Linked DNA regions of Mus musculus. The protein of the gene in region 5 interacts with the protein of the main gene of each other region in a pairwise test. Links are inferred from orthologs where the notes say so. Each region holds a gene or a part of one and is shown on either strand. Other genes may lie near its edges.

Region 1 (4,151 bases), on a different chromosome or scaffold from region 5:
AAACTATATCTAAGCCATCTAAAGCAGAATAGTTGACATCTCTGTTAAATAGAACTTTTTTTTGTTTTTGTTTTTTTTGTTTTTTTGTTTTTGCTTAAATTTTCAATGGAGTCAGAAACCTACCATACTGCTCACAGTGGGTGTACGGTTTTCCCACTTAACTGCTCATTTTGGAATGTACAATTACCATTTTCATACCAAGTACTGTCTCCTTAGCCTTGCCCTTTCTTTTAATACTTTCTGCAACTCTGTATCTTTACTTCTTCAGCATGACCTTCTGGGATTAAGGTGACTTTCATGGTACTCAGACCCCGGGTAACCACAGACAAGGTTTAAGAGGATCACCTGTCAGTCCAGAGAACCACATGGAGTGAAATGATGATCAGAGTTATTTACAGACACGCTCAGTCTTGCTTTGGTTCACACTGCACTACTATGTGAAACCTCAGGGGTTGTGGGATAGCGAGGTCCCTTGGTTCACCCTATTGACGATGTAACTCTTGACATTGGGAATGGGCCGCACATCATTCTGGTGCTTGCGGCGTTCTATGAAGCAGGCCAGACGGGAGGTGTCCAAGGGGATCTTGGAGTAGCTGCCGTTGTGGGGCTGTAGCCAGGGATGCTGCAGGCACGTGGCTGCTGTGGGCCGCCTCCGGAAGTCTTCCTGTAAGATTACGTTGATGAAATCCCTGGCAGCATTGCTCACACCGCAGAAGTACTCGTGGGGGAAGCTAAAGTCCACCCTGCACACGTTGATACAGGTTTCCTCTTTGCTCTCATCTAAGAAGGGGGAGACCCCACTAAGCATGACATATGTCAGAACCCCGATGCTCCAGATGTCTGTGCCCAGGGAGACAGGGATGCCTTGGATCACTTCGGGGGCAGCGAACTCAGGGTTCCCCAGCAGATGGTGGATATGGAAGTGGCCTGAGATCTGGACAGCGTCTTCCAAGTCGATGAGCTTCACTCGAGGCACTGGGATCCGGAGGTCAATGAGCAGGTTTTCGGGCTGCAGGGACCCAGGAAGGCAGGGACAAGAGAGGTAAGATGAGGTCTTTGCTGACCTCCCTACCCCAGCTGCAATCTGTTAGCTAACACAGATTATTATTCTTTGATTCAGTCATGTGGAATACTCCCTATGCAAAGGCAAAGGAGGTTTCAAACTCACTAAACTCTGGGGTTAGGTGGCTTTTTAGATAAGTTGGTTGGCATTGGGGAAGGAGTACAGGGCTAATCGTGTACTCCTGATTGGCCCAGAACTTACTCTGTATACCAGGCTGGCCCAGAACTTACAGAGATCCTTCTGTCTTTGTCTACTGACTGCTGAGCTTAGAGGTAAGGGTTGCAGCACTCAGCCTGTACTTCCCCACCCTAGTGTTAGAGATCCAACCCAGGGCCTTACACATGCTAAGCAGGTGTTCTGCTACTAAGTCACACACGTATTCCAGAAGAGCATGCCTTCTTACCTACCCTTGCCTTGCAGTGAATCAAGGAAAGAACTAAATTTTTAAGAAAAAAACAAGCTTCTCAGAAACTGTGTGTGCACGCACGTGTGTGTGTATACATGTATATGTGTATGTATATGTGTGTGTATACATGTATATGTCTGTGTGTGTGTATATATGTGTGTGTGTGTGTGTGTGTGTGTGTGTGTGCGCGTGCGTGTATTGCTGGGTGGTGATAACACAGGCCTTTAATCTCAGCATTTGGGAAAAAGAAACAGATGGATCTCTGATTTGGAGGCCAGCCTGATCTACAGAGTGAATTCCAGCATAGACAGGGCTACACAGAGAAACCCTTTCTTGGAAAAAAATTTTTTTTCTTTATGTGTACGTATCTATATGAGTGTATTCCATGTTCGTGCAGGTGCTGTTAGAGGCCGTAAGAAAACACTGGGTCTACTACAGTTGGAGTTGCAGGTGGTTGTGAGCCAAGCAATATGAGTGCTGGCAAGAGAACTTGGGTCTTAAGCACTGAGTCATCTCTCCAGCCCTCCGAAGCTCCTTTTTCTTACAGAATGAATGGGAACAGGACATTAAGTGATGTCTATAAAGTTAGACTGCTTGGTTAAAGCTTTCCCTTACCCCGTGTGCCACCATCTCTCTGGTGTGTTTCCTTCATTCCTGAACAATGCACTTAGGTAGAGTGAAAGTCTAGTTCTAGTTTAATAGTCACATGACATCACAGGAAAGACAAAAGAAATGTAAATCTTCCCCCTAGCAGTAGTGATGCATGTCTTTAATCCCAGCACTTGGGAGTCAGAGGCAGGCAGATCTCTGAGTTTGAGGCCAGCCTAGTCAGCAGAATGAGTTCCAGGACAGAGAAACCCTGTCTTTATAAAAACAAAACAACAACAATAAAAAGAAATTCAATTTTGTATTTTGTATTCCTCAAGGAAATGTCTGGGAAGCTGAACCCGTCTATTTCACTGTAACAGGCACTGACTTTTTATTACCTTTATGTCCAAATGTGCGACCCTACAGTTGTGCAGGTACTGCAGAGCTTCCATGATGTCTCGAATGTAGAAAGCTACCTTTTCTTCCATCAGCTCATCATGATTCATAAGGTAGTCCAAGAGTCGGCCGTCATCCATCCTGACAGCAAAGAGGGGTGGGGGGAGAAATAGAGAAATGACCCATGCACATAGCTTAAAAAGTTCTAGGAGGTCTCTTATTAATAAAGCTTGGTATTGCAACACACATGTATTTTAGAGCCCAAAGTAAGTGCCACATTCAGAACTAGAATGAATCAAGTTACAAATGAGTTACACGGCAGGAGAAATCCTTACAGCCTTACACAACACCGTTTTGTTGACTCTAAGGTCTAACCTGGCTTTAAGAGGTTAGGTTGAAGAGAAAAGAAAAGGAAAAGAAAAGTCTGGTGCCTATAGTGAGCCTCATATACATTAAAAGTATTTCCACTTTTTAACATTTTTAGATGGGAGAAATGTGAAAGAGGAAAGGTTTGCTCTCAGCATATCTGATCACTTCTTAACTCTTTTGCCTTTCTAACAGCTTGCCAACTTTTAAAGACAGATTGAAAATGGGCTAAGTGGAGCCAACCATAAGCAGATTTCTGTTCTGGTTCTGCCTCTTACCAGCTGGTGGCTGTAGGTCATCACTTAAACCCTCTGTGATTTGGCTTTCCTGAAAGGCACCGCCTTTTAAGGTGGGCATAGCAACTGGCTGCCAACAGCAACATCAATGACAAAATAAGACCTACTTCTTTGGCAGGCTTGTGAGAGCCAGGTGAGGCAATGAAGATTTGAGGCATGGTCAAATATGTTTGAATACTTGTCCCCAGCTGCTGGAACTGTTTGGGAAGAATTAGGAGGTGTGGCCTTGCTGGAGAAGGTGTGGCACTAGAGCAGGCTTTGAAGGTTTCAAAAGCCCATACCATTCTCAGTCACTTTCCTGCCTTGTGCTGTGTGGGTCAAGATGTAAGCTCTCAACTACAGCTCTAGAACCAAGAGCTGCCTGCTGCCATGCTCCTCACCATGATGGTCATGGACTCACCCTTTGAAACTTTAAGCCCTTAATAAACTCTCTTCTATATGTGGCCTTGACCATGGTGTCTCATCACAGAAAGAAAGAAGTAACACACGGTGCTGAATAAACAGTAGCTATTTCTAGGCTTCCTATGCCCTTTTGTAACAAGTGATCAAACCTTTAATGTGAAGTGGGTCATTTGAGATACGTCTCAGGAAATGCCCATGTCAAGGAGTGTGATCCAGTACAGGAATAACTTCCAACCATAGCTGAAACCTGCATAGCTGACTTCATTTTCTCCCCTAATTTGTTCCTTGCTACGGGATCCTTCTATTTTATTGATAAGTGGAAAAGGATGGAGCCCCTGGAAGGCTCCCTACCTCCCTCTGGTCTTCTAGTATGAGGCAAGAGAGGAAAGATCAGAGAGGAGTGGTACTGTGCTCATCACAAGGAACTCTCAGAGATACTTGGAACAAATGAGGGGGACAGTTACAGCAACACTGCTCCAAGCCAGAAAAGATCAGCCACCCCACCTTCCTTAGAGCTGTTCTCTAGCCTGCATCCATCTGAGACTAGGGAATGGGAATCTTGATTTTCTGGTCCAGGAGGGTTGCACCAGTTATCCCTATTGACCACTACAGGCAGAGCAAGATTGAGCACGTG
Region 2 (4,151 bases), about 37 Mb from region 5:
CCAGGCCAAACCAGCCACCATCTTCTGAGGTCTTAATGATTGCAAGGGCTTCCTCTGCTTCCCCTCCCCCATCTCCCATCCATTGTCTGTGTCCCTTACCGCGGTTACAATGAACTTGTTAAAGATCAGATCAGCCATTCCCACTGGCAGCCTTCCTTACAGTATCCACCATGCCACTGCGTCCTGGCCTGCACCCACTCAGCCACACTCCTGCAGTCACCCTGTCGGTCCTCTGAGACATTAGGGACCCTCTGCTCCCACTCTGGTCCAGGTATTCATATTGCTCACCCTACACACACACACGCACACACACACACACACACACACACACACACACACACACACACACAATGTAATAAAAAAAAACTTTAGAAATAAGAGTAGCAGTTAGCATTTATGGAGTGCTTACTGCATGCACTCAGAGGCACTTGGTAAGGACACTCACCACATCCTTAAGCATCTTTCCGACAGCCCAACCCTAGGAGATCCTCTACGCCCTATTCAAGCTGATGGGACAATGAGCTCAGGTGCCCAAGTTCACACGCTTGTAGGCAGGGACGACTTGTCTCCTGAGGAGAGCCAAAAGCTCAGAGGCAAAATGGCAGGCTACAGAAACAACTGGACAGAGCTGCCATCTGTCCCTACAGGGCTGCGGGGGTCAGACTCTGCAGAGAAGGAGGCACAAACGCTGACTTCTCAAGCCTCTGGAAGGTTTTTATTTGTTTGCTATTCTTTTTCTCTTTTTCCTTCTTTAAAAAAAAAAAAAAAAAGACAAACAATAATAGCACATTTCGAGAATCAAGAACTACAATAGAGGGTCCGCTTTGAGTTTTTGTTCACATCGTCCTGCACTGGGACACGGGGACTGGCACTCTCCATCCTGGCTGGGACTCTCCTCTGGAAAAAGGTGCTGAGTGGTTCCATGAGTTGGTCTCCTAGGCCACACCAGATGGTAGCACCTGGTGCTGTCCCAGGTTACAGCCTCACCAGCGCCCCTCCCCCTCCAAACCATCTTCCCTCTCTCCAAGCCAGAGCCAGAAGCCGGAGACATTAGGGAACTTATTTTGGTCCCCACAGGGGACTCTTTCAAGGACAGAGCCCTCCCCTGACCAGCAGGAGATGACACCCTGTGAGTGGATAAGGTGTCTCTCCGAAGTTCCATCTCTACTCCAGCAGACACCACACCGGTGCCCTGGTTTGTACACCTGAGCCACCTAGGCTCCCTCCTGCCATACCCTAGGTCCATTCCAGCAGGCACAGGAGTGACAGATGCTTGGCCAGCCTCTTCAGCTGACCCCCACCCAGAGAGAAAGAGAGAGAGAATGAGAGAGAGAGAGAGAGAGAGAGAGAGAGAGATCACCCAAGTCCCAGGGCCATGGCTCAGAAGGAGGCACTGGGTGGAAAAAAAGGCACGAGGGCAGGGTGAGGAGACAGAGCTGATGTAGCCGAGTAGGAGAGGTGACAGAGAGCCACCCCAAGGGACGGGGCAGGCTTTCCAGGCCTACAGATAGGAAAGAATCCTAGGCTGCAGGTCAGCAGGTTTAGGCTCAGGGATCTGGGGAGGAAAAGACATGAATAAGCTCATGTCCCTTCTCATATTGCCTCCAGTTGCCATGGGGTCCAGGTCCAGGTGACACGATCCCAGGCCCAAGGGAAAGGGGAACATGACCCACTGCCAAGTCTCAGCCTAGCCTCTATGGTAGGCTGGGTACTCCCACCCCATGGCAAGCTATGCCCCCGGCACCCAGTAGCAACTCCCAAGGGTTGCCATCCAAAGACAACTGGGCTGATGGGTGATGGGGGCCTGCTGACCTGGGGCCCCTGCCTTACCCGCTCTGGCTCCACCCCGACCACGCCCTTGGGGCCCCTGCCTCCCCCGCTTTGGCTCCACCCCGACCACGCCCTTGGCTCTATTCTTGCTGTTCGTTCATTTCCATGTCAGACACCAGAATGTTCTTCTCGGTGGCCTCTGCGGGGCCAGAGTGGCTGCTGCGACTGTAGCGGGCCCCCTCGAAGGACCCACGCTCCGCACTCTGTCGGCGCCGGTAGAGGATGAGGGCTGCCGTCATCAAGGCCAGGAGGAGCAGCACCGCTGTCAGCACCACCACCAGGGCAACCGGGCTCTCGGGGAGGGCTGCTGAGATGGAGGTGGGGAGTTCACATCAGGCCCCAGTCATGACCACAGGGACAGAGGAGCCAGCGAAAGAACCAGGCCGGGGCTCGCTCATTCCCTCCACTCACCTGATGGCAAGAAGCTGTTCTCTTCCACTGTAGGAGAGGAGAGAGCCAGAGAATCACAATCAGTCCTCACAGAAATCATAGTCACAATTTAAATAAGTGCCTGTGAACTGCTTTGTGAATGTCACCTTGCAGAGTCACTGAACCTCCCAGGACTCTAGGACCTGGCTTCTACTATTTCCGTTCTATATATGAGGAAGCTGATGGGACAGGTGTGTGTGTGTCTATGTATGTGTTCTTATAGGTGAATATAAGCAGATACTTGTGAGTGTGCATGTGCGTAGAGGTCAGAGGTCAAGGTTATTGCACTGTGTCTTCCTTGATGCCTCTCTACCTCGGTGTTTTGAGGCAGGGTCTACCACTGAACCTACAACGTATGGATTCAGCTCATGGCTGGTGAATGAGCTCCAGGGGCCTATAAAACACAAATACACGTCTCCCTTTCTGTCTTAGGGTTACAGGTGATGGCACTCAATGTTGGGATTTTATTGGGGTGCTGGGAATCTTAACTCGGATCCTGGTGCTTGCGTGACTTTACCAAATGGACTATATCCCCAGGCCTCAGAGTCAATACGTGAGTGTCCAGGGCTTGACCATCCCTTGTCCCTAACCACTATAGAATGATGGGGCTTGCTGTCCTCTGGGCTTATGTGTACTTTGGAAAGTTGAGGCCCTGCGTCAGTCCTTGCTGCAAACTAATGTACTTGATGCCCTCCGGCCAAAGCAGATGCCCCTGTATATCAAGTAACCCTAGACCCAGCTGGACATCCAGCTGTGAGTCCAGCTATGGGCCCAGCTGTTGACCGAGATCCTGGCTTACCTCTAGGGAGCTTGCAGACAACTCCCATGGTGATGTTGGTACAAGCCCCGGGGCGCCACAGTCCGCTGCTGCTCTGGATCCAGTAGCAGCTGTTGTGGCTTAGCATGCTAGGGCCCAGGCCAGGGGGCCCCCAGTTAGAATAGTTCACAGCTGTGTTGTCTTGCCAGACCAGCGTGCCTCCTGTGGAAGGAACCCATTGGGAAGGTGTGGGAATGGGAATAGGTGGAAGGGGGGTTTCTAGGTGGGAGGCGATAACCACGATCCACTGCTGTACTTTCACAAGCCTGGAGACAGTGGTAAGCATCCCTCTTGCAGCCTGAGCCCTTCCCTTCCCGTACACAGAGCACCCACCTTTGGGGTTGAAGTTCATGCCCAACCAGGCACCTCGACTTTGGGCTTCAGCTGTCTGCAGGTGCTCCCAGACAAACACATTCTCCATCTCATCAAGAATGGACAGAACCGTCCCACCAGCTGGACACAAAGAAAGCCCATGTCAGGACAAGCAGATTCTCCTTATGGTGATAGACCCCCCCCCCAAACTACTTCCCCCCCCTCCCGCTTCACAGCAACCCCGGCACTCTTCTCTGGCAGCTCAAGTGCAAGATGGTGTGAATCTCAGCACTTGTGGACCGTGGGATATTCTGTAGATGACACAACATGGTCTGTGTATTAAACAGCGAGGGGAGCTTGAGATAAGTGCCTATAGGCAGAGGGGAAGTTCTTTCTCCAGGCCTCAGAGTCCCGGATCTGGGCTAGGCTGCTCTCACCCACCTTTCTGACAGCGCTGCAGCGCCTCCTTGTGGCCCAACAGCACCTCCATGTGGAAAGAATAGCAATGCTCCCTGAAGGGAATCCAGGACGAGTCAGCCAAGCCCTGAGGACAGCTGCCACGGTAGTTTATCCTTCGGGGTGGGGGCCCTGTTGGAGTGCAGAATTGAAGACGTAGCCCGAACATCTTCCCAGAACCACCTGCACCTGCGCAAGCCTTGGCCCTCACGGGTGGTACTCACCCCTGCTCACCCCACACACTGCCCCCTGCAGCTTGGTATCACAGCTGGTGGTGCGCCAGGTTCCATCCACATCCACGTAGGCA
Region 3 (4,151 bases), about 39 Mb from region 5:
TTTTCTACTGGGATTCACTGCTGCAGCTATTGGCTACGTGTACTGTCCCTTTACTGCTATCTCTAGATTTCATTTTATTTATTTATTTTTTTGGTTTTTCGGTTTTTCGAGATAGGGTTTCACTGTGTAGCCCTGGCTGTCCTGGAACTCACTCTGTAGACCAGGCTGGCTTTGAACTCAGAAATCCACCTGCCTCTGCCTCCCCAGTGCTGGGATTAAAGGCATGTGCAATCACCGCTTGGCTAGATTTCATATTTTAATCCCCAATGTTTAACACCAGTTTTCTTGAAAGTAATTCAGCTCTTGTATATTGATATCCACTGTATATTACCAGTCAACTTCTCTTTAATTACATTTTATTTATTTGTTATGTGTTTCTGTGTCTGCATGCCAAGGATCAGAGGACAAATTCTGAGAATGGAACTCTCCTTCCAAAATGTGGGTTTCATGAATCAAAGTAGAACCTCTGTGTTTAAAGTAGTGCCCACTGGCTGTGTCATATCTATAGGCTCCTCACAGCTTTTAACGTTGAACCAGCTGAACAGCATCCATGGAAAACTGAGAAAATAGACACTTACTTTCTTAAGGGATTTACTCATTTGCTGAATCTTTGGAAAAAAATTTACTTCTTTTTTTTTTCTTTTCTTTGTTTGTTTATTTATTTTACACTCCAGATTTTATTCATAGAAAATTGGAATTAGAAATGTAGAGGGCCTGGGACTAGGTGATGCGCTGTAGATAGACCACTAAAGTTATAATAGCATTATAGCAAATGTGTATGCACGGTGATAATACACAATAAATCACAGAAAAGCTTGTTCAACAAAAAACCAATTACATCTGTTCACCACACTGACAATAAACTCACTGTTATGTATTTATATACTTGATCCCACCAGTAAGCTACATGTGCTTTAATGATAGTATCTTCAAAGTGGTAGTAACATTAATTAGAAAGATGAGAAACAAAGGAACTAGGAACATCACCTGAAATTGATAGACAAAAATTCCAAAATGGAGAAGATGAAAGACTAAAAAAGTGTTTGTACCTGTGAGCCTTTATTATATTTTTAACATAAAAGCTTACTTACTAGTCAAATGAAAGAAAACATTTAGTGGCTTAAAACAGAACACTCTTTTCTATTTTGCCCAACTTTAATTAGTTATTAAATATTTTCGATCCCATTTCCTAAAAGTTTTAGTTCACAATATATGGTTTCTATCCCAAAAATCTTTCTTTATATATAGAAATGTGGGATAATGAATGTTATTGTATCTTGGTTGCATGTTTTAAATTGTTCTAAGAATCAATCAATACTGGCTACCTATATGAATTAAAGCTTGGGAAGAGGTGGCAAGTCTTAAAAAGGGTCTGTCTAAACTGGGCTCATTAATTTTAATGAAAGTGTTACTTAGGCCAATACATGCTTTGCTAACAACATGAAATGTTTCATAAACAATAGGTAATCTGATTAAAAATTAATACATATTTGACACCTATATTAAGATAGTCAATTAAATTGGCAATTAACATTCTGATTAAATTGAATACAAAATTTCCTTAGAAATTTAATACTTTTATTTTTAAATTTAAATATTTTTAAGATGTATTTATTTTATGGTATGTATGTTTTCCCTGAATATACACTTACATCCATGCCTGGTGCCCACAGAGATCAGAAAAGTGTCAGATCCATGGAACTAGAGTAACAGATGGCTGTGGGAAGAGAACCCCCTGTTTTCTGCAGGTCAACAAGTGCTATAGAGTTTCTCAGTGTAGCCTTGGCTGTCCTGGAACTCACTATATAGAAAAGGCTGGTCTTGGACTCAGAAATCTGCCTGCCTCTGAGTGCTGGGATTAAAGGTATATAGCACCACTACCCAGCTTTGGTTTTTGTTTTTCTAAATATTCTTATAGAAAAAAATTTAATTATATTTGTTTGTATATATGTGTGTGTGTGTGTGTGCATACATGGTGTGCACATGTGTAGAAGCATATGTGCCATAGCATGCATATAGAGGTCAGAAGAAAACTTGGAAAATTTGATTTTTCTTACTATGTATGTCTTGAGACTCAAGCTTAAGTTATGAGGCTTGGTCTTGGCTTTTACCTAATGAGCCATCTTACTGGCCCACAAAAGAGTAGATCTCTAGTCTATCTGAAACAAGTGGCTCTGTAGATCTTAAAAATCACATTAATCCTAATTAAAAGACTATAATTAACCAAAAACAGAAATGTAAAACAAGTCTGAATCAACCATTAATAAAGCTAAATTTCCTTTCAGTCCACATCTTTCAGAACTTTCTCCACATCCCACTTACCTGTCATCAGTGCTCTGCTCATCGTGTAGGAGCCGCTCTTTATTTAAACCTATCTTCTCAAGCTCATGAGTTAATTTCTCAAGATCATTGTTCATTTGTTGTGTCTTCAATTTCTCACTGACTAAATCCTTATTTTAAAAAGAATGAAAGAACGTACAACTCACTCAAGTATCAAGAAAAGAACGTCAGTCAAGATTCTAATAACTACAACCCAACCAGACGTAATTTGAACCAGGTAAGAAGTGTGACTGACCCTTTCCAGCAGTCAAGTGGTACATTATAAACAAGCTAAATCATTCCTAAAAATCCTAAAAATCTTCTCTTGGACTAAACCACCAACCAAAGAGTACACATGAAGTGACCCATAGCTCCAGCCACATACATAGCAGAGGTGGCAGTGTTCAAGATGAGCTAGATACCTGTCTGTGCACCATAAGGCTATTACTCAAACAATAAAAAAGAATAGAAAGAACATCACAGTGCTGACTCTAGACCACCAACCAAAGAGTGCACATGGAGGGACCCATGGCTCCAGCTGCATATGTAGCAGAGGATGGCCTTGTTCGGCATCAATGGGAAGAGAAGCCCTTGGTCCTGTGAAGGCTCGATGACCCAGTGCAGGGCAATGCAAGGGCAGGGAGGCGGGAGTGGGTGGGTGGGTGAGCACCCTCATAGAAGCAGGGGGAGGGATGGGATGGGGGTTTCTGGAGGGGAAACTGGGAAAGGGGATAAAATTTGAAATGTAAATAAATAAAATATCAAATAAAAACATCATTTCTTCCTCAAATTATTTTTTGAAAAAAAAAAAACATTTTTAATAGAAATAAGCTCGAGTGTGTGTGTGTTGCTACTTCTTTATAATGCTACTGTTATAAAGGAGTTTCTAGGAGAAACTCTTTCCTGGTAAACAAACAACGTGGTGAAAACCATAATGGAACCTCCAACACACTCATGGACTTTAATGAAGCACTTATGTGTGGGGGGAAAAAGTAAACTATTATCTAATGTATGAACCTATCACATATTACAGGAACTATCACAAAGTAAATCTTACAAGTGAGAGAATTCTCAATAGTTCAATGTTGAAATTTAAGTTAAACCTGATTTTCATTCTCAGGCTTCTCAAACATCACAGAGCTTTGGAGTTTGAAAGATCTGAGATTAAATGCAGAAATCCACTCCTTTTATTAACTGTGTGTTTTTGAGTAAGTTAATATTTCTGAACCTGTTTGCTAATGTGAAAGATAAAAATAATATTTAAATGACTGACTGTGAAAAATCATATAAATTTACTTGACTACAACTTACATATGAATCCTTAGCCAAGTGGTAAAAAACACTTGCTCTAATCATTTATACCTTATTACTAACAATTTTAAAAATACAATTTAAAATGTCAACTGAATAGGAAACAGAAGTAGTTTCTAGCTCTAGTTCCAAAATTGTACTGAACTACACAAAAAATGGCACAAGTTACTGATGGGTTCAATAAAATGTGGGCTGCAAATATAAAAAATGATTGCCTTAAGTTTAGGTAAATATATTTACCTCACGTAATGTAACCAAGGTTTTAATATCAATAGTTGCTCTTTTTACAAGCTCTTTATTTTCTTTTTCTAATTCTTTTAGACGAACACAGGACTCTTTATATACATTAATTTCTTTGAATAAAGTTTTGTTTTCTTTTTCCAAATTCCCAATTTTCACATTATTTTCTTCTAATGTGGTATCTTTTATTTCTGCTTGTTGTCGGAGTCGTTTATTTTCCTTCTCCAATTGTTTTTTGTCCTTTTCAAGTTGAGATGTCTCTTGCTCTAATGACTTGTTTT
Region 4 (4,151 bases), on a different chromosome or scaffold from region 5:
ATTTATTATTTATTTTATGTGCATTGGTGTTTTAACTGCTTGTATATCTGTGTGAAAGTGTCGGAACCCCTGGAATTGGACAATGGTAAGCTGTCAACTGAATGGGTACTGGAAACTGAACCTGGGTCCTCTGGAAGAGCAGCTTGTGCACCTAACCACTGAGCCATCTCTCCAGCACCTCACTTGGTAATTTTTTAAAAAACTTTCTCATTAGTCTGCTTTGGACAAGTGCTAAGTGTCTCCTCTACCCTCAAGACAGTTTCCAACTGCATCAGTCACTGACTGACTGATACATTCCAATGTTCTGGGAAACTAAACCCATGGCTTAGTACTTTGCATCACAGTCTAAGTTGACAGTTGTGTTTAGATATTCCATAGGAAAGACCCACACATATGAAGATATACTCAGAGGGCATAAAAAGGTAGAGTCTGGAAATGGGGTCTGGCCACAGGGAAGTGTGAAACAGCAGGATAAGGACAAAGGATGCAGTGTACAGGTGTGTGGCAGCAGCCAAGGCTCCGAGTTGTGCAGGACTCCACTGGGAAGGCCACTGCTATTGTTTGTTTCCTCTGTAAAGTGATGCCTATTTGCCTCTCTTTCCCAGAGGAAGCAAAACTTTCCCTTCAGAAATAAGAGTTAACTCCTAGTCTCTAGGATTTGTGAATCTCCAGAAGAGATTAGTCTTTGAAACATGATTAAATATTCTATTACAATTACACTGTCCATTAAAATAATATTCTGACACAAGTATGGCTAGTGATTGTAGAATTTAAGTAACAAAAGGATCCAGATAGCAAAAAGTCATTATTTCATCTTGGTCTTTCACTCCTACATTCCTCTTTCAGGATACATTTTTATAGCGTCTTTTGTGAACCTGCCTCCTTCCTATGGTACTGAGAATACAAGGATGAGTCAGACATTAGCAAAAAGCTAGAAGACTGGGGCAAAAGTTAAGTTAATGCATACACAGTATAAAACTGTAAGGCAGGTTTGGAGGCTCACCCCAGCTGGGCGTCAGCGAAGACACTCCTGTCCCCATGTGCATCCCCGCTGCCCACGGCAGCCTGGCCTGCGGTGGTCAGCATTCTTCCTGGCTCCCGCAGGCTACTGCGGACTGAGCTCCTGGGCCAGGAGGAGCGGGCGGTTCTGCTCTGCGTGCTTTGAAGCCGAGCCTGGCTCACGCGCACAGTGGTCTCTTCCAACAAGCTGCCCGCACTGTGGCTGGTGCCAGGAGGGTGGGTGGGCATTGTGGGCTTGAGTGGGCCATTGTCGAAGACAGCATCGCTGAATGACCCGCACCCAGGTGGCCTGCGGGCTGTGCCAGCCTGGCGTAGGCCCAGGATCTCTGAGCGAGCATAGCGTGGCAGGGTGAGGCGCCCACCAGGCACCACGTGGCTCCGCCAGGCATACTGGTATTCGCTGTGCCCATAGTGGGCTCTCTCCGGGCTGCTATCTGGGGAAATCTCAAGTCTCCTCAGAGGCTGCCTCCAGGATCTCTCCTCCACTGACTTCTGGGAACTGTACTGTGCTGCTGCTCTCCCCCAGCGACTTCCATAAGTGGCAGTCATTCCAGCCTGTATGAGAGAAATGAAATTTAAATGAAGCATATTGACCTGACCGACTTTGGGATTACAATCTAACATGTCCATTTCTTTGAATAAAATGGAAGTCAGTACCCTTGTGTTACCCTGAGTCATAGTTATTTGTATTAGAATTTAATATTGTTCAAACTTTTAAAGTCCCAGTTTTCCATATTGTTTACACAAATATTCTTAAAAACTGGGAAAGGAGACCACTTGAGACAGATTACTCCCTTCTCGAAAAGTCTGAAATTGTTTTCCTGATAATCTGGTCACGGATTATGTTCTCTGATGTCCCACCTTAAGCATGTCATAGTCCCTAGTGACAGGTGACTGCCGTCCAACAAAGTCATTCTCAACCACGTGTAGCTTGTAGACATACTCAGGGACACTGCTGGTTCGGTGAAGGTTCCCTGAAATTAAGAAAACATTAAAGTAATTTAGAATACAAACGTGCCAATCTACACTGATCAGATGCATGACAAACACTGAAGTTTATATCTAAGTGTTTGGAAATGCTGGTTGAAAGCTGTCATTTAGAAAAGACAAATGATCAGAGGTTATCAAAACATTTACTGGGTGTTTCCAAGTGCCAGTAGTGTATGCCAGTAATCTCTCTTTCTGAGTTGCAGGTAGCCTGAATGAAATCAAGCGAGTTACAAAAACCAACCAAACCAAAAAGAAAACAAAACCCCAAACCAAACAAAACAAGAAAACAATGGAAAGTACAAAACCAGCAATGGCGAGAAGCCTTTAGGAAAGCCCAATGCTGCCGCTGAGCTGACCAGTGCTGGGGCTCACTGGCTTGGTTCAGTCCCAGGAAGTTCTGATTCAGGTCAGAGGTAGGTTGTGTTCCCAGGGTAGGAGCTCTGGAATTTTTTGCTGTTCAGAAGTCCAAGGGAATGAAAACATTCAAACGCTACTAGATAAGGGAGCTTGTGTAAACCAGAGGGTGGGGCCAGTGTAGTCACAGACACCGAGCAATCTAAAGCAAGGCTACGGTGTTGGCATTGTGAGTTTGTAGCTAAGAAATTAACGGCTCTTCTATGATGACTGTGCCTGTGAAGTCAGGACCCAGCTGACTATTTCACAAACACTTCAGGGGAAAGCCAGGCCTTGCTCAGTGAAGCATGCTCTCATCCACTTGATTACTCATCTCTGAGGAATGTGGGCTGGAAGGCAGGGCTGGCCCTCTCCTGTCTCTTTAGCCTTCTCCCCGCATCTGATTTCTAATCTCTTAAATGGAAAAAAGACTTCTAAAGCCTAGATAATGTCTTTTTCTATTTTCTTATTTTTGTCCGGCAGTGTTTCTCTTACACATGTGAGGAAGAAAGACACTCAACAATCCTAAGAGCCTCAATAGAGCTGCTGAGAACAGCAGAACACAGTCCCCTCACTATGATGGAACTCTTTCTAACAAAGTGTCTAAATGTTTACATTTCAAGAGAGTAATAATTATTCACAAATTACTTGGAGGGAGAATGAAGACTGTTGTTACCAGAAAGCTAAACAGTTTGAATCCATTTGGATTATGCTTGCACATGTGTCCCTATTTCCTGATGCCAATCAAGCCTTTTTGTCTGGTTGTCTTAGAGAGGCACCCACACACAGGCTTGTACCTGTCGTATTGAAGGCACTGAAAGCATGGTTAGCCAGAAAGTCCTGATTCTAGAATTCATGAGGCCTGGAAAGGGAGAGGGGTTTCTGACTCGGGAATTCATTAAAGCCTCTTGCCACTGAGGAAGGAAGAAACCAGTACAACTAGCAGTTCAATGAAAGACTCTCTCTTCTCAGCTATCATCTTACAGTTCCCTGGAAATCTCAGCAGAAACTCCATTGGTGGGAGACAGACACCACGTCCATGTATTAAACGCCATGTGCAGCCCTGCTGGCTTCCGGCTTTACATTATCAGATCGTAATTCTGTCAAAAGAATCTCCAGAGCCACTTATATCATTTAGTTATGGGGGGGGGGGGTCCCTCTGCAACTTTGTGAGATTATGCCTTCAGAGAGCCACTAGGATGGCACAGGTGGCTAATGCTATAAAACCACCACGACTTTCCCTTGAAGGGCCTGTACCCACACTTAGGTGTATCTCACTTCCCATCTCTGCGCTCTAAGGTGTTACTTCCATGTGAGCACCTTGCTTTCTTTCTTAACCTTAATTCTCAGGCTAATATTAAACTATTTTTAAAATTAAAATCTTTAACTCTATTTCACATCCACTATGTCAAAATTTCTGTTTTGCATTCAAGCTACAAAATGCTAGTGTGCCTTGTATTGAGGTCCCTAAATGATTAAGGGAACTTCTCAGGCTGCTGTCTCAGTGCCCTTACTACTGAATGAGGGAAAGGAATTCCTTCAATTTAGGAGAGGTCTTAAGGGCATGGCTCCTCGGCTAGCTGTTTCCCCTTACTTCCTGGTCCATTCCACAGCGCAGACAACCAGGAGAGGGTGTAAAGCTTATGCTGGCATAGGGCTAGAAATTAGCAGTATAGACACAGGGCAACACAAAAGGCTTTGAGCCTTAAGGATCTGGGGGAGGTAAAATGAAAAGCTTATATTCCTCC
Region 5 (4,151 bases):
GTACTTTCAAATTTAAATTTACTACATGGAACTGAGAATATAGATCAGTGTCAGTACCTTTTGCCAAGCAAACACAGAGCTCTAGGTTCAATACCCAGGCCCGACAAAGACAGACAGACAGACAGACAGAGAGATAGACAGAGACAGACAGACAGACAGACAGACAGACAGAAAGAAGGGAGGGAGGGAAGGAGGGAGGGAGGGAGGGAGGGAGGGGGGAGGGAGGGGGGAGGAAGAAGGAATCTGCATGAACATATATTTCTATAATAACCAAAATAAGGTCTTAAAAATAAAATCTAAAACTTAAAAACTTTTTAACTTTTTAAAACTTTTACTTAAGCTGCTCTTGTGTTGAGCGCAGACACCATCCCACTGCGACAGATCAGTGACCTGGAAAGCCCATCCTTCCTCTGCTTCCTGGATACTACAGTAACTTGTAAACTGCCGTTCACGCAGAACTGTAGCAGCTCTGCTACACCAGCAAATACATTTGAAACTGATCATCTAACATGGCCTTCAAGAGAAAATACAAACCTTTTGGTGAAGGAAAACTGTTTTCTGTGCCTTTCCCAACAGGCGTTGCAGGCAAGGAGAGTGAAGCCTGGACCGCAGAATCCATCTTCTCACAGTCCAGAGTTGGAGAGCTGGGGGCAGACTTGCGGGTCACTTCCTGTTGTCGTTCCCGAACTGCTAGTTCTTGCCTTAAATCTGCAAAATGTCGCAAACAAAAGCAGGAATCCTCATTAGAGGGAGCAAATATACCCTGCAAGTCCCAACAAAAACATCATATAAACATTCCTCCTATGTTACTAGTTCTCAAAACAAGCTTCCTATCTAAAAATTTTTATCTCTTTAACAAAATGTGAACTCCCCTAGAACTTAAAAATACAAAGTAGTGAGATGGCTTAGTAGTTACGGCACTTGTTTCCAGACCTGACAACCAGAGTTCCATCCCTGAGACAGACATGGGAGACTGAGAGAACCAACCCCTACAAGATGTCCTCTGACTTCCACAGTGGCTAGTGTACGCACACAACACACACACACACAAAATAAAAATAATTTAAAAGAAAGAATTTTAAAATGCTATAACCTCTCAGAGAACAGTATTATGCCCAAAGGTAAAAAGAAATTGAGCAGTGAGGGCTAAAGAGATGGCTTTTCCACTGGACAAGTTTAGTTCCCAATCCATGTCAGACGGATGCCTATAACTCTAGCTCCAAGAGCATCTGATACCCTCTTCTGGCCTCTGCAGGCACCTGCACATAAGTGGCATATACATATACACAAATAAAATAATAAATCTTAAAAAAAAAAGACACAACTAGAACTCACAGAGAAACTAAGTAACACGGGACATCCCTAACCAACTGTGCATATGCAGTTGCCGTGAAGATTACTACCAAATGCCAATGAAGCTTTACAAAGTTTTATAGTTTTTTTTATTTTTTTATTATTTGGTTTAAACAAGATCTCACTATACAGTTCTGGTAGGCCTGGAATTCTCTATGTAGATGAGGCTGGCCTCAAACTTGCAAAGATGCAACTGTTTTTGTTTCCAGTATACCAGGTTTAAAGGCATGCATTACCACATCTCAGATTTTTTAAACTACCACTATGAAATCATTTTTCAATACTGAATTTTTAATATTTCCAATTATATACCTACCCTGAAAATATCTTCATATGTTAAAAGAAAAAGGATATAAAGAGGCAAATCTCTGAGAATTCAAAGCCAACCTTGTCTACACAGAAAGTTCCAGGATAGCCAGGGCTATGCAGAAAGACCCTATTGCAGAAAAAGAAAAACAGGCCAGACGGCAGTGGCGCATGCCTTTAAGCCCAGCACTTGGAAGGCAGATGCAAGCAGACCTCTGTGAGTTTGGGACCAGCATGAGCTACAGAGGAAGTTCCAAGACAGCCAGGGCTACACAGAGAAACCCTGTCTTGAAAAAAAAAAAAGAAAAGCAAAAACAAAACAAAGGATACTATATGTTATTTCACTTTTGAGATCAAAAAAGTAAAAATAGAATTACAAACTGATATATGCAATCTATATCCACAACAGCCTTGTTCACAAGAACTAAAGATGCAAGCAACCCCACAGCCCATTCACAGAAGAGAAAAAAAAAATGATCTAGAGTGGAATTTTTAATCTACTTTCTGTAAGATAGGGGAATGAACACATTCTCAAAAATTGTCCTTTGAACTCCATACTAATGCTTCTATACCCATGCAGGCAGACGCAGGTACAGACATCACAGGCATCTCACACACACACACACACACACACACACACACACACACACACACACTCACACACACACACTCACACACACACACACTCACACACACTCACACACTCTCACACACACACACACACACACACACACACACACTCACACACACACACACACACACACACACACACACACACAAATGCCATTTTAAAAAAATTTTAAATAAGGGTGGGTGGGTATGGGGGACTTTTGGTATAGCATTGGAAATGTAAATGAGCTAAATACCTAATAAAAAATGGAAAAAAAAAGAAATGTAACTGAGGAAAATACGTAATAAAAATATATATATAAAAAAATAAAATAAAATGATAAAAAAAATTTTAAATAAAAAAAAAAATCAGGTCACAACAACATAAACAAACCGTGAGGACACTAAAGTTAAACTAACCAGTCACATAAATATAATAATAATTTAAAAACCATCTCAGTATAGTGGTACACTTTTAATTTTTAATTCTAGCACTTGAGAAACCAACAGTGAACAAGACTGGGGATGGATGGAGCCTGTCATGCACAGGCCCTGTGTTCACTCCTACCACTGTAAAACAAAATCTATACACAAACAATACCAAGTTAATACTTTATATATTACAAAAATTAAAACAGTTCCTCAGGGGCTAGAGAGATAGCTCAGCACTCAATGCTTTCCCAAAAGACTAGGGTTTGATTCCGAGCACCCACATAGTAGCTCACAACTATCTGAACTCCAGTTCCAGGGATCTGATGCCACCTTCCAGCACCCGAGAGCAGCAAGCATGCCAAGTGGCACACATGCATGCAGCCAAAACACCCTTACACATAAATCAACCTTTTAAAAACTCTAACAACAACAACAACAAAAAAAAAAAAAAAAACCTTCAGATGAATGCATCACCCTCAGGAAAAAGAAAATTAAAAGACACTGAAAATCTATAAAAAGAGATGAAGAGACGACATATAGTTAAACACACTTTCTGTAGAACATCTCTCTCTCCTCCTTAGCACAATGAGATTCAGAGAATTATATAGGAAACAAGAGCAGGGGCAGTACATGCTCCCAGTGCTGAGCCATTACCTCTCCAGACCCAAAGCCTGCTTTAAAATTTTCCATACCACAGCTGGAGAGATGGCTCAGAGGTTGAGAGCACTGGCTGCTCTCCCAGAGGCCCTGAGCTCAATTCCCAGCAACCACATGGTGGCTTACAACCATCTGTAATGGGATCTGATGCCCTCTTCTGGCCTACAGGCATTCATGCAGATAGAAGACTGTATATAAAATAAATTTATAAAAAAAATTGTGATGCCATGTATATTCCCTATATTAAGTAGAAAAAAAAGAGAAATGTATGTGTCCATTTCTGTCTGCTCATAGGAAAGTCAGGAATTATTTAAGGGAAAATATACAGACATATACAATCATAAAAAAGTAAACTATGTCACACTGTTAGGGGACTTCTTTATAATATTCTCAATTTTATTGTTTCTGAGGAGAAAGAAGTTTAAAAGAAAGTGTGTACGAGTTACATGAATAATATGTAAACAGCAACATATATATACACATATATATATATATATATATATATGGTTCTATGTAAATAACGAGTTATTTAAATACAATTAATAAGGAGAAAAATCCCAACTGAGAGCAGTACAACAGTGAAAAAGCTCCAACTCTCTGTGCCTCCTTCTGTTCACCTATAACATGGAGGTTCTACCTACTCCTCAGCACTGATGCTATGGGTATGAGATAATTGACCAGGTTAAAAGCACTTGGCACAACGATTGAAAGCTATGTAAAAGCATATAGAACTAGAGCTTCCGAGAAACTGAGGGCTGGAACACAGCTCAGGAGCAGAGTGCTTACCCAATTGC
Region 6 (4,151 bases), on a different chromosome or scaffold from region 5:
TGGTTGGTCTAGACTCTGTTCTTGGGCCTTCAAGGTTTCTTGGTCATTACACAAGGCTGCCACTTCCTCCCTGAGTTCTTTTAACTGCATCTGAAGCATCAGCATTGCAGACTTAGAGTCTTCTTCCATCTGTACTCTTGCTTGCTCCTTCTCTTCCAACAGTCTTCTCAAGGAAGAGCACCGTTCATCTAATTCTGACACTCGACTTTGTTTCTCTTGTAGCTGCTTTGCTAGATTTTCTCTTTCAGTCCTAACTGTAACAAGGTCTAATTCGAAAATTCTCAGGCTTTTGGTCATTTCATCCTTTTGTGCCTTAAGGGTCTCCACCTCTGCTTTCAAATTCTCAGAATCAAGAATTGCCAGCTCTTGGTTTTCTTCTGACCTCTCCAGTTCCCGCTCCAGAGTCTCCACTGTATCCTTCAATGAGTCGCTTTCACGCTGGCTTTCTTTCAGCTTCGCCACAGCACTGAGGTGCTTCTTCTCATCGGCCTCAATGCGGACGCTCAGTTTCTCAATGCCTCGTCTCAGCTGATGCACCTCCTCCTGGGCTGAGCTCAGCTGCACTGCAAACTCACCTTTCTCCTTGAGTGCCACCTCCAAGGCCTTAGAGATCGTCTGCTTTTCACACTCTGACTCAGTCAGCTTGATCTGGAAGTTCTGAGACTCCTTGACCAGTGATTCTTTCTCTTTATTCAGTTGTCCAATTTGTATTTCCAGCTCACCAATCGCCAAAGATAATTCTTGTGAGTCATTCTGCAAATTCTGCAGCTGCTCCTGGAGATGAGCTTTGTCTTTTGTTAGCTCACCCACATTAAAGGACAGAGTCTGAATAAGATCTGCTTTGTCCTTGACCTCAGACTCTACTGCCCCAATGTGACGGAGGCTCTCCCTTTGGTGAGACTCCAGCTCTTCTATTTTCTCTTTCATCTTTTTAGACATCTGATCCAGTGCTTTGCTTTCTTTTGACACATTATCTAATTCTTCCCGAAGTCTGTTTCTCTCACTTATAACTGTAAATAGTTCTTCTTTAAGGTCAATAATAACCTTTTGCTTACTTTCAGTGTCTCTTTCCAAACAGAGCTTCTCTGCTTGAACCACCTCTAAGTTAGTTTCCACAGATAGGATGTGATGCTCAATATTAGCTTTCTCAGACTTAATTCTGGTCAGTTCTCTTTCCATATCAAGAAACTTCTCCTTATAATTGTCTTCTGTGTTGGTTGCATTATCTTTAGTAGATTTACTTAACAACTCATTTGCTCCCATATCTAAATTAAAACCAAGATCTTCTTCTGACCTTTCTACTCTCAGACATACCTCCTGGTTACATGGAAGGGATTCCAACTTTTCACTTAAGTCAGCTTTTTCCTTTCTGAGGTCCTTGACTATTTTTTCCAATTGTATGCATGTTGCAATCTTCATCTTGAGCTGTACTTCCTGTAAACTCAGTTTTGAATCTGCCTCCATAATTTCATTTAGCAAACTTTCAACTTTTTTGTCCCAGTCCTCTACTTCAGGAAGTAATCTCAAATTCTCATTTAAGGTGTCTTTCTGCAACTGGAGATTCTGGATAGACCCCTGATCTTCCAGAACATCCATGGGCACCAAAACATTGGAACTAGAACACAATTCAGAAATGCATTCTGAGCAGTCCTGGGTTTTGTCCTCCGCTGGTGCCTCACAATTGGTCTTCGGAGGCTGCTCTTCACACCCCTCTCCTGTGAGCCTGGTAGTCTCACTCTCAGTGACTGAAGTTTCCAGACCAAGGTCCTGCTGAATATCTTTATCACAAGTTTGGTCAGTGTCCTGCTTTGGTGTTTTCTCTGTAGTCTCTGAAATATATACTTCTGATTCTTTTATATCATAATTATCGTTTTGGCACCGAACAACCTATAAACATAATATAAACCAAGAAAGCATTTTATTTTTTTAGAAGAATCAAAATAGAATCAGTGGTTTAACTATTATTTTATAGAAACTGCCCATATGGGTACTGCTATGTATATCCCTCCAAATAGCATCACTCTCAACACTTCATTCCACCCTGCTGTCTTGATAGTCAACATGAACATTCAGTGGGCTCTACCTATGTGCAAAGCACTGGGTAAGATATTTATCATAAAGATTAATCCTCCAGGACATTTATTTCACTACATCTAATGTGGAAATTACATCTTTCATAGCTTTTAATGTTTTAGGAAGCGTAAAAGAGTAGTTTTTTGTGGTTATCAAATAAGAGAGGCTAACAAACTTCAGATAAAATGGTTAATGTTTTGATCCTTAGTCCTCATGTTCTAAGTTCTCATTTACTTACTAAGAAAAGCAGTAGTGTTTATTAGCAGATTGTCTGCCCAAAGACCTCATCCTAGTCAGTACTTTCTTGGATAAACTGCATGTTTTTGTCTCAATTTCATATAAACTAGGGCACTCTGATTATGACCACCCCTACCACCACCTCAAAATGATCTATGACCTTCACCTCACAGAATTCCAAAACTGTACTGCATTATTGGTATTTAAGCTGGTCAACTAGAAAAGACAAAACCACAAGGAACTAAAATATAAAATAAATCTCTTTAAGCAACTGATACCATTGTTAACTGCTAACTGCTAAAAACAAAAAATAACATTTAAATAATTTCTTATATCTAGCTTAATAACTAATACTATAACATCTAAAATAGTCTGAAAGGCATAAAGCTAAGCCTCCCTAACACATCACTCACTGATCATAAGTTCTTAATATTTAAGTGTACCTTATTAATTTCCAGTATATGTGGTGTTTTGAATAGAAATGGTTTCCCCACAGGCTAATATATTTGAATGCTTGGTCATTAGGGAGTGGTGATATTTAACAGGGATTAGCTGTAGCCTTGTTAGAGGAAGTATGTCACTGGGGGGGGGGGGAGGGGGGCGCGCTGGGGTTTCAAATGTTCAAGCAAGGCCCAGTATCTCTTTCTCTTCCTGCTGCCTGACGATCTGGATCTAGAACTCTCAGCTACCTCTGCAGCACCATCTCTACCTGTGTGCTACGATACTCCCTACCATACTGATAATTCCCTAAACTGATAAACTGTAAGCCAGCCTAACTAAATGCTTTCCTTTGTAAGAGTTGCTGTGGTTAGTGTCTCTTTTACAACAATAAAACAGTGACTAAGACAGCATACATTCTAAAGATTTACAACTTCAGACTTTAAAAACATTTTTTGGTGCTTTTCCATAAAATATTTAAAACAAGTCACAATGGACATTTATTCCTCAAATAGCTTCCTCACTTTTTTGAGTCCTGGTTCGCTCTAGGAAGGTTTTGGTTACGTTTTCATTTATTTCTTTAAACCCTAAAAATACTCCAATTTTGATTTCATATGAATTCAATCCTATAAACATTTACTGAGTTTAACTAGGCATGCACACAGAGAAATAGCATGTATATCCTACTTACACTTTCCAAGTCAGTGCCAAGCAAAGACCTGGAGCTCAGGTCCAGCTCCTGTAACTGAAGTCGTGCTACCTCAAGTTCAAGGGACAGAGTCTTGGTCTGCTGCTTCTCCTCTGCTAACTTGGACTCCATTTCCAAAGTGACACTTGTTAGCTTCTGCTGCCATTGCTCCTTTTCTGACAAATACTGCTTCCTAAGGCAGCTTAGCTCTTTCCTCTCAGAACTCAGTAACTGCTCAAGCTTTTCAATTTCTTTATTTTTCATAATCCTTTGGCTCTCAGTTTTCTCCTCTAGATTCTTGAGGGACTGCAAGTACACCTGGCATAGGACTTCAAGTCCCTCAACAGTCCTCCCAGGGGCAGGTGGGCTTTCCTTCTCAGTCAGAGTCTCCTCCTCCAGACTGCTGGAGAACTCTTCATCCAAGTCACAAGAATTTGCTGAAGCGTTCCCTTCTAAACTTAGATGACATGTGTCTCCAGTTTGTTCTAAAACGTCTTTGTAAAAGGACGTTTCTCCAAAATTTGTCAGAGACGGGCTGTCTGCCCCACAGAACGACAGTGGCAGACCATGCCCACCCTCAGCTGCAGGCTCCCCCTCCTTTACCAAGTCACCCTGCAAGGTTCTCAGACTCATTGACAAGGCAGAATTTTCAGCTTTTAATGTGTCCACGTAGGAACGCAGTGCTGACATCTTAGAGCTCACCTCACAGTGCTGA
Region 7 (4,151 bases), on a different chromosome or scaffold from region 5:
TTGAAATACTTCAGTGCACTAAGGTTACTAAATATGTTTTGGAAAGTGTTACTGAATTGGTCTTGGATAGCCAAGGAAGACATGTGCAAGAAAGAGGGGACCATAGAAGCTTTAGATGAAGACTCCGATGTTATATTACACTCCTATCTGAGTGAATAACATATACTCAAGGTTATCAGAGCAAGCACTGCTTATACCAGCAAAATAGCTCCCCTAAAGTGGCTAGTCCAAAATACCACCAAGAGGAGAATGAGTAAATATATATATAATACACACACACACACACACACACACACACACGACTGTTATGGGGGCAGGAGAGATGGCTTAGTCCTTAAGTTCACTGGCTGCTCTTCCTAAGAACCCGAGCTCAATTCCCAGCACCACGTGGAGACTCACAGCCATCTGTAACTTCAGTTCCAGGGATCCAACACCCTCTTCTGGCCTCCTTGGTTACCAGGCATGCAAGTGGTAGAGACATACATGCAGGGGAAAGTCCCACACACATAAAAAAATTAAAAAGAAAAACACAACGCAAGTGTAAAGAAACCCGAAGATGGTTTGACTAAAGTAGAACGCTCGCCCAAACACACTGCTCAGTGAGAGCAGCGGTGTGCAGATGTCCCCAGGTACACGGTAATTTGGGGTGAAAGGTGGGAGAAAATGTTAAACAGATAGACTGGATAACTGATAAGTTGCCTCAAGTGGGGAAAACAGTTTGTGGTGGCAGTGGGTGTGGTAGGGTGGGGGTCAGGGGGGCAGAGCTGGTGGGAGAGCTTTCACAGTCTATTCTTTTGTGTTTTCAAACCACTTGAATGTTATTAACCACCCCAACATGGTTCCTGTTTCTTTTTTCCTAAAAAGGGCATTTTTACGAACTGAGAGTGCCTTCACATAGAGCAAAGCAAGGTGGCCCAGAGGCAAGTGACAGCACCATGAGTCACAACTAGGAGACATAAGCCTCAGCAAAAACCAAGATATCTTCCTCAGCATGTCTTGCTACCCACCGCAAAGTCCTTTCTATACCCCTAGCACCAAGCCTGTTAAAGACCCCTAGCAAAACCCCAATAGTCCCTAGGGTGCCCTGTTCTCAAAACTCACTGATAGACCACATTACCTCACAGAGGCTTACAAAAAAAAATAAATAAATAAAACTAAAAAGACAGAAAGAAGGAATTCAATGTCTTCATTTTACCTTTATCCCCTGTAGGTTTCTGGCTTCTTGTTTGCATTTCAGCAGTTCTTTCTACAAACCAAACATAGAGAGATCAGACGGTGGCTTCTGAGTTGCTTCATAAGCATTACCTCATTCTGTCAGCAAGAAGACAAAACCCAGTTGGCCATTCCACGAAGATTAACCCATCAGCTGAGGCACAAAGCAGGTCCAGTCCTGTAAGCCGTAAAGACTGACCCTCTCTTCTCTAGGCACCCATCACTGAGATGCCCAGGCAGTCAGAGGACACCCCATCCCATCCGGACCCACAGACAGGCTCTCTCCACACAGCAATCTTTGTTAACAGGAGAACCGGATAACATCATCCGAATCTCCGTTCAAATCTGTGATATGCTATCTCTTCTGCTGCCAAATACTTATTTTGATTTTATTTAACTTTTAAGCAAAGGGTTGGCATGCTTCTATTCTCCAAAAGGCTATTGTCTTCTTCTTCTTCTTCTTTTTTGGACTGAGGCTATTGTTCTTTGTGGTCCAAACAAAAAAGCACTTGGCTTTATAATGGGAAACTGAGTAACTGAATTTCCATATATATGACTGCAACTAAAAACAGAGATTTGAGAAAAGCAAAGCCTGTTACTGAGACTCGGGTCTCTCGCTATTGTGTCACAGAAAGGATTCATAATTAGCTTATCTAAAGTGGGATTTGTAACCTGGCCTCCAACAGATGGAATCAAAAGTTATAAAAAAAAAAATGGAGGTCTAAGTGTGTATGTGTGCACATAAGCACATGTCACGGGAGATGTGTTCAGTCACAATGCTCTCTACCACTGACCTGTAAGAAAATATTCATTAAAAAGAACTACACTAACATTAGACACTCTCTCCCCTTTTTGAGGCAGGCTCTCATTATGTAGCTCTGGTTAGCCTGGAACTCAGTATGTAGACCAGGCTAAACTTGAATTTATGTACCACGATGCCCAATCTAGAGTCATCTTTTTCTACTGATTAAATTACAAAAAGGAATCTAGAAAAATTTCAAACTTACAGAACAGAACAGATAACTACTATGTAGGGTTAAAATTAAAAAGTTGTCACCGTGAGCAACAGGTCAGATGTGTCTCTCTCCTCCAAAGACAGACAGCATAGGTAAGGTTCAGCTCGCCCCGGCACCGCATCCCTAGCCCGCTCCAGAATGCCCCAAAGCTGGCATGTTACGTCCCCACGGTTACTTTCGAAGGGGAAAATATGCAAGTCCTCCCCTACCTTAAGGTCCTGATTCTCCTCCACACTCTGATCCAGGCGGCTTCGGATTATAATCTGAACATAAGACAAGATGGTCATGAAGTTCATCGGCCACTCACTCAACAAATACTCACTGACACCTACGAGACACCACTTCCATCCGGGAACACATGCCCTCTTACAAGCAAATGCTCCAAACAATACAGATGAAATTTACAGTGTGTGTGTGTGTGTGTGTGTGTGTGTGTGTGTGTGTGTGTGTACCAGGAGAAGCAGATGGAATCAGGGAAAGAGGAGATGAAGCAGAAAAGGACAACGGGAGCCAGACCAGGAAGGGCCAATGAGGACAGTAGGGAATTAACACAAGGGTTTATCTGGGTTTTTAAAAGATATTTATTTTTACTATTTGTGTGTGTGTGCGTGTCTGTGGGTATATGCTCATTGAGTACAGGAGCCTTAGAGGCCAGAGGCAGAAGATCCCTAGAACTGCAGGGAGCCACCTGATAAGGGGGCTGGAAATTAAATTCCAGTTAAATGTTCTTAACTGCTGAGATGAACAAGAAGAGTTTAGAAGAAGAATCTCAAGTCAGGAAAACCTATCTCGAGGCTGCTAGGATGCTGGATGAGTGAAGGCCTGAACTAAGTAGTGGCTGAGCTAATGGAGACACTGGGTGTGAAGGGAGGATCAGAAGAACTCAGGGATGGCGTCCAGGTTTCTGTTCGGGGCTTCCGAGTAAACGAGGAGATGGGAACACAAACATAAGGACAAACAGAGTCAGTGGCTAAGAAGGGGACAGAGATACTTAGCAGAGGACACACTGACACCGAGCACCCACAAATGAGCTGTCTGCTGCACACAGCTCTACAACTCTGCAGAGATCTGAACTGGAAATCCATCTATGAGAAGCAGGCACAGAGTGAGTGAAGACACAGAAGGCAGAAACACTGACCAGTGACTGTGTAAAATCGACGACGACCCAGACAGGGATGCCGAGGAGCTCCACATCACGACATAGAGAAAAGGAAGTCTCCAGGGGACTGGGCTGTCATCTGAAGGGGAGTGGGGCCATAGGTGTCCTTGGTCATTACCATAGCTCTAGCACCGTGGACTAGCGTGTGACCCAGAGTCAGCACATCTGAGCATCTTTCTGAACATCTGCTGACTACATCAATGGGGAAGCCAGGAAGGCCAAGAATGGCAGACAAACTCTAGGAGTCAGGAGAGAGTACTTCAAGAAGCTGAGGTCAGGTGTGAGAGGAGCCAGGCCTGGCGCTTACCAGCTGTTCCTCGGGATTGACTCCTGGTTCACAAAGAGCCACGGGTCGCTCCTGTTCATCCTCCGGCAGAGAGCCATTGAGTAGCAAAGCCTGGATAAACCACAAAGAGAGGAGGAAACTGAATACCCTGCCACCTGGTTCAGTCTAGAGTCAGGCTTGCTAAGTTTACCACAATAGAAATTGGTGGATGACACAAACACGTCTTTGGAGGAAGCCAGATGATAAATAACCTCTGCCTACTTCCAATGGCCCTGAGGACACACATCTCCTTCTAGAGGTCCCTCTCCCATTTTTAAAGAGTCTCATGTGGGGATGGCTTTGAACTTCTGGTCCTTCTGTCTCTACCTCTCATGTGTTGGGATTTCAAGCATCTACCACTGTGCCTAGTTTACAATCGATACAATCGGACCTAGAACTAACTCCGTGCAAGCTACAAAGGCACTGTACCAACTGAGTT

Evidence for each region.
Region 1: the proteins of Ndel1 (region 5) and Kalrn interact in a two-hybrid assay, tested with the Homo sapiens proteins (2 studies listed by BioGRID and IntAct). The link is inferred for Mus musculus from reciprocal best matches to the Homo sapiens genes NDEL1 and KALRN.
Region 2: the proteins of Ndel1 (region 5) and Mrc2 interact in a two-hybrid assay, tested with the Homo sapiens proteins (2 studies listed by BioGRID and IntAct). The link is inferred for Mus musculus from reciprocal best matches to the Homo sapiens genes NDEL1 and MRC2.
Region 3: the proteins of Ndel1 (region 5) and Ccdc88a interact in a two-hybrid assay, tested with the Homo sapiens proteins (2 studies listed by BioGRID and IntAct). The link is inferred for Mus musculus from reciprocal best matches to the Homo sapiens genes NDEL1 and CCDC88A.
Region 4: the proteins of Ndel1 (region 5) and Pkp2 interact in binary tests that used the Homo sapiens proteins (3 or more experiments, as listed by UniProt). The link is inferred for Mus musculus from reciprocal best matches to the Homo sapiens genes NDEL1 and PKP2.
Region 6: the proteins of Ndel1 (region 5) and Cenpf interact in binary tests that used the Homo sapiens proteins (3 or more experiments, as listed by UniProt). The link is inferred for Mus musculus from reciprocal best matches to the Homo sapiens genes NDEL1 and CENPF.
Region 7: the proteins of Ndel1 (region 5) and Dixdc1 interact in binary tests that used the Homo sapiens proteins (3 or more experiments, as listed by UniProt). The link is inferred for Mus musculus from reciprocal best matches to the Homo sapiens genes NDEL1 and DIXDC1.

The regions. Positions count from the first base shown.
Region 1 is NC_000082.6:33,975,071-33,979,221, forward strand, and holds part of Kalrn (kalirin), read right to left. Parts: intron 2,595-4,151; coding exon 2,456-2,594; intron 1,010-2,455; coding exon 446-1,009; 3' UTR 1-445. UniProt on the Homo sapiens protein: Promotes the exchange of GDP by GTP. Activates specific Rho GTPase family members, thereby inducing various signaling mechanisms that regulate neuronal shape, growth, and plasticity, through their effects on the actin cytoskeleton.
Region 2 is NC_000077.6:105,347,685-105,351,835, reverse strand, and holds the end of Mrc2 (C-type mannose receptor 2 precursor), read right to left. Parts: coding exon 4,069-4,151; intron 3,977-4,068; coding exon 3,830-3,976; intron 3,530-3,829; coding exon 3,410-3,529; intron 3,239-3,409; coding exon 3,059-3,238; intron 2,269-3,058; coding exon 2,242-2,268; intron 2,138-2,241; coding exon 1,911-2,137; 3' UTR 691-1,910; downstream 1-690. UniProt on the Homo sapiens protein: May play a role as endocytotic lectin receptor displaying calcium-dependent lectin activity. Internalizes glycosylated ligands from the extracellular space for release in an endosomal compartment via clathrin-mediated endocytosis.
Region 3 is NC_000077.6:29,463,910-29,468,060, reverse strand, and holds part of Ccdc88a (girdin), read right to left. Parts: coding exon 3,871-4,151; intron 2,451-3,870; coding exon 2,323-2,450; intron 1-2,322. UniProt on the Homo sapiens protein: Bifunctional modulator of guanine nucleotide-binding proteins (G proteins). Acts as a non-receptor guanine nucleotide exchange factor which binds to and activates guanine nucleotide-binding protein G(i) alpha subunits.
Region 4 is NC_000082.6:16,223,144-16,227,294, reverse strand, and holds part of Pkp2 (plakophilin-2), read right to left. Parts: intron 1,995-4,151; coding exon 1,882-1,994; intron 1,576-1,881; coding exon 1,004-1,575; intron 1-1,003. UniProt on the Homo sapiens protein: A component of desmosome cell-cell junctions which are required for positive regulation of cellular adhesion.
Region 5 is NC_000077.6:68,835,616-68,839,766, forward strand, and holds part of Ndel1 (nuclear distribution protein nudE-like 1), read right to left. Parts: intron 709-4,151; coding exon 535-708; intron 1-534. UniProt on the Homo sapiens protein: Required for organization of the cellular microtubule array and microtubule anchoring at the centrosome. May regulate microtubule organization at least in part by targeting the microtubule severing protein KATNA1 to the centrosome.
Region 6 is NC_000067.6:189,653,206-189,657,356, forward strand, and holds part of Cenpf (centromere protein F), read right to left. Parts: coding exon 3,440-4,151; intron 1,888-3,439; coding exon 1-1,887. UniProt on the Homo sapiens protein: Required for kinetochore function and chromosome segregation in mitosis. Required for kinetochore localization of dynein, LIS1, NDE1 and NDEL1.
Region 7 is NC_000075.6:50,686,166-50,690,316, forward strand, and holds part of Dixdc1 (dixin), read right to left. Parts: intron 3,785-4,151; coding exon 3,695-3,784; intron 2,492-3,694; coding exon 2,438-2,491; intron 1,247-2,437; coding exon 1,196-1,246; intron 1-1,195. UniProt on the Homo sapiens protein: Positive effector of the Wnt signaling pathway; activates WNT3A signaling via DVL2. Regulates JNK activation by AXIN1 and DVL2.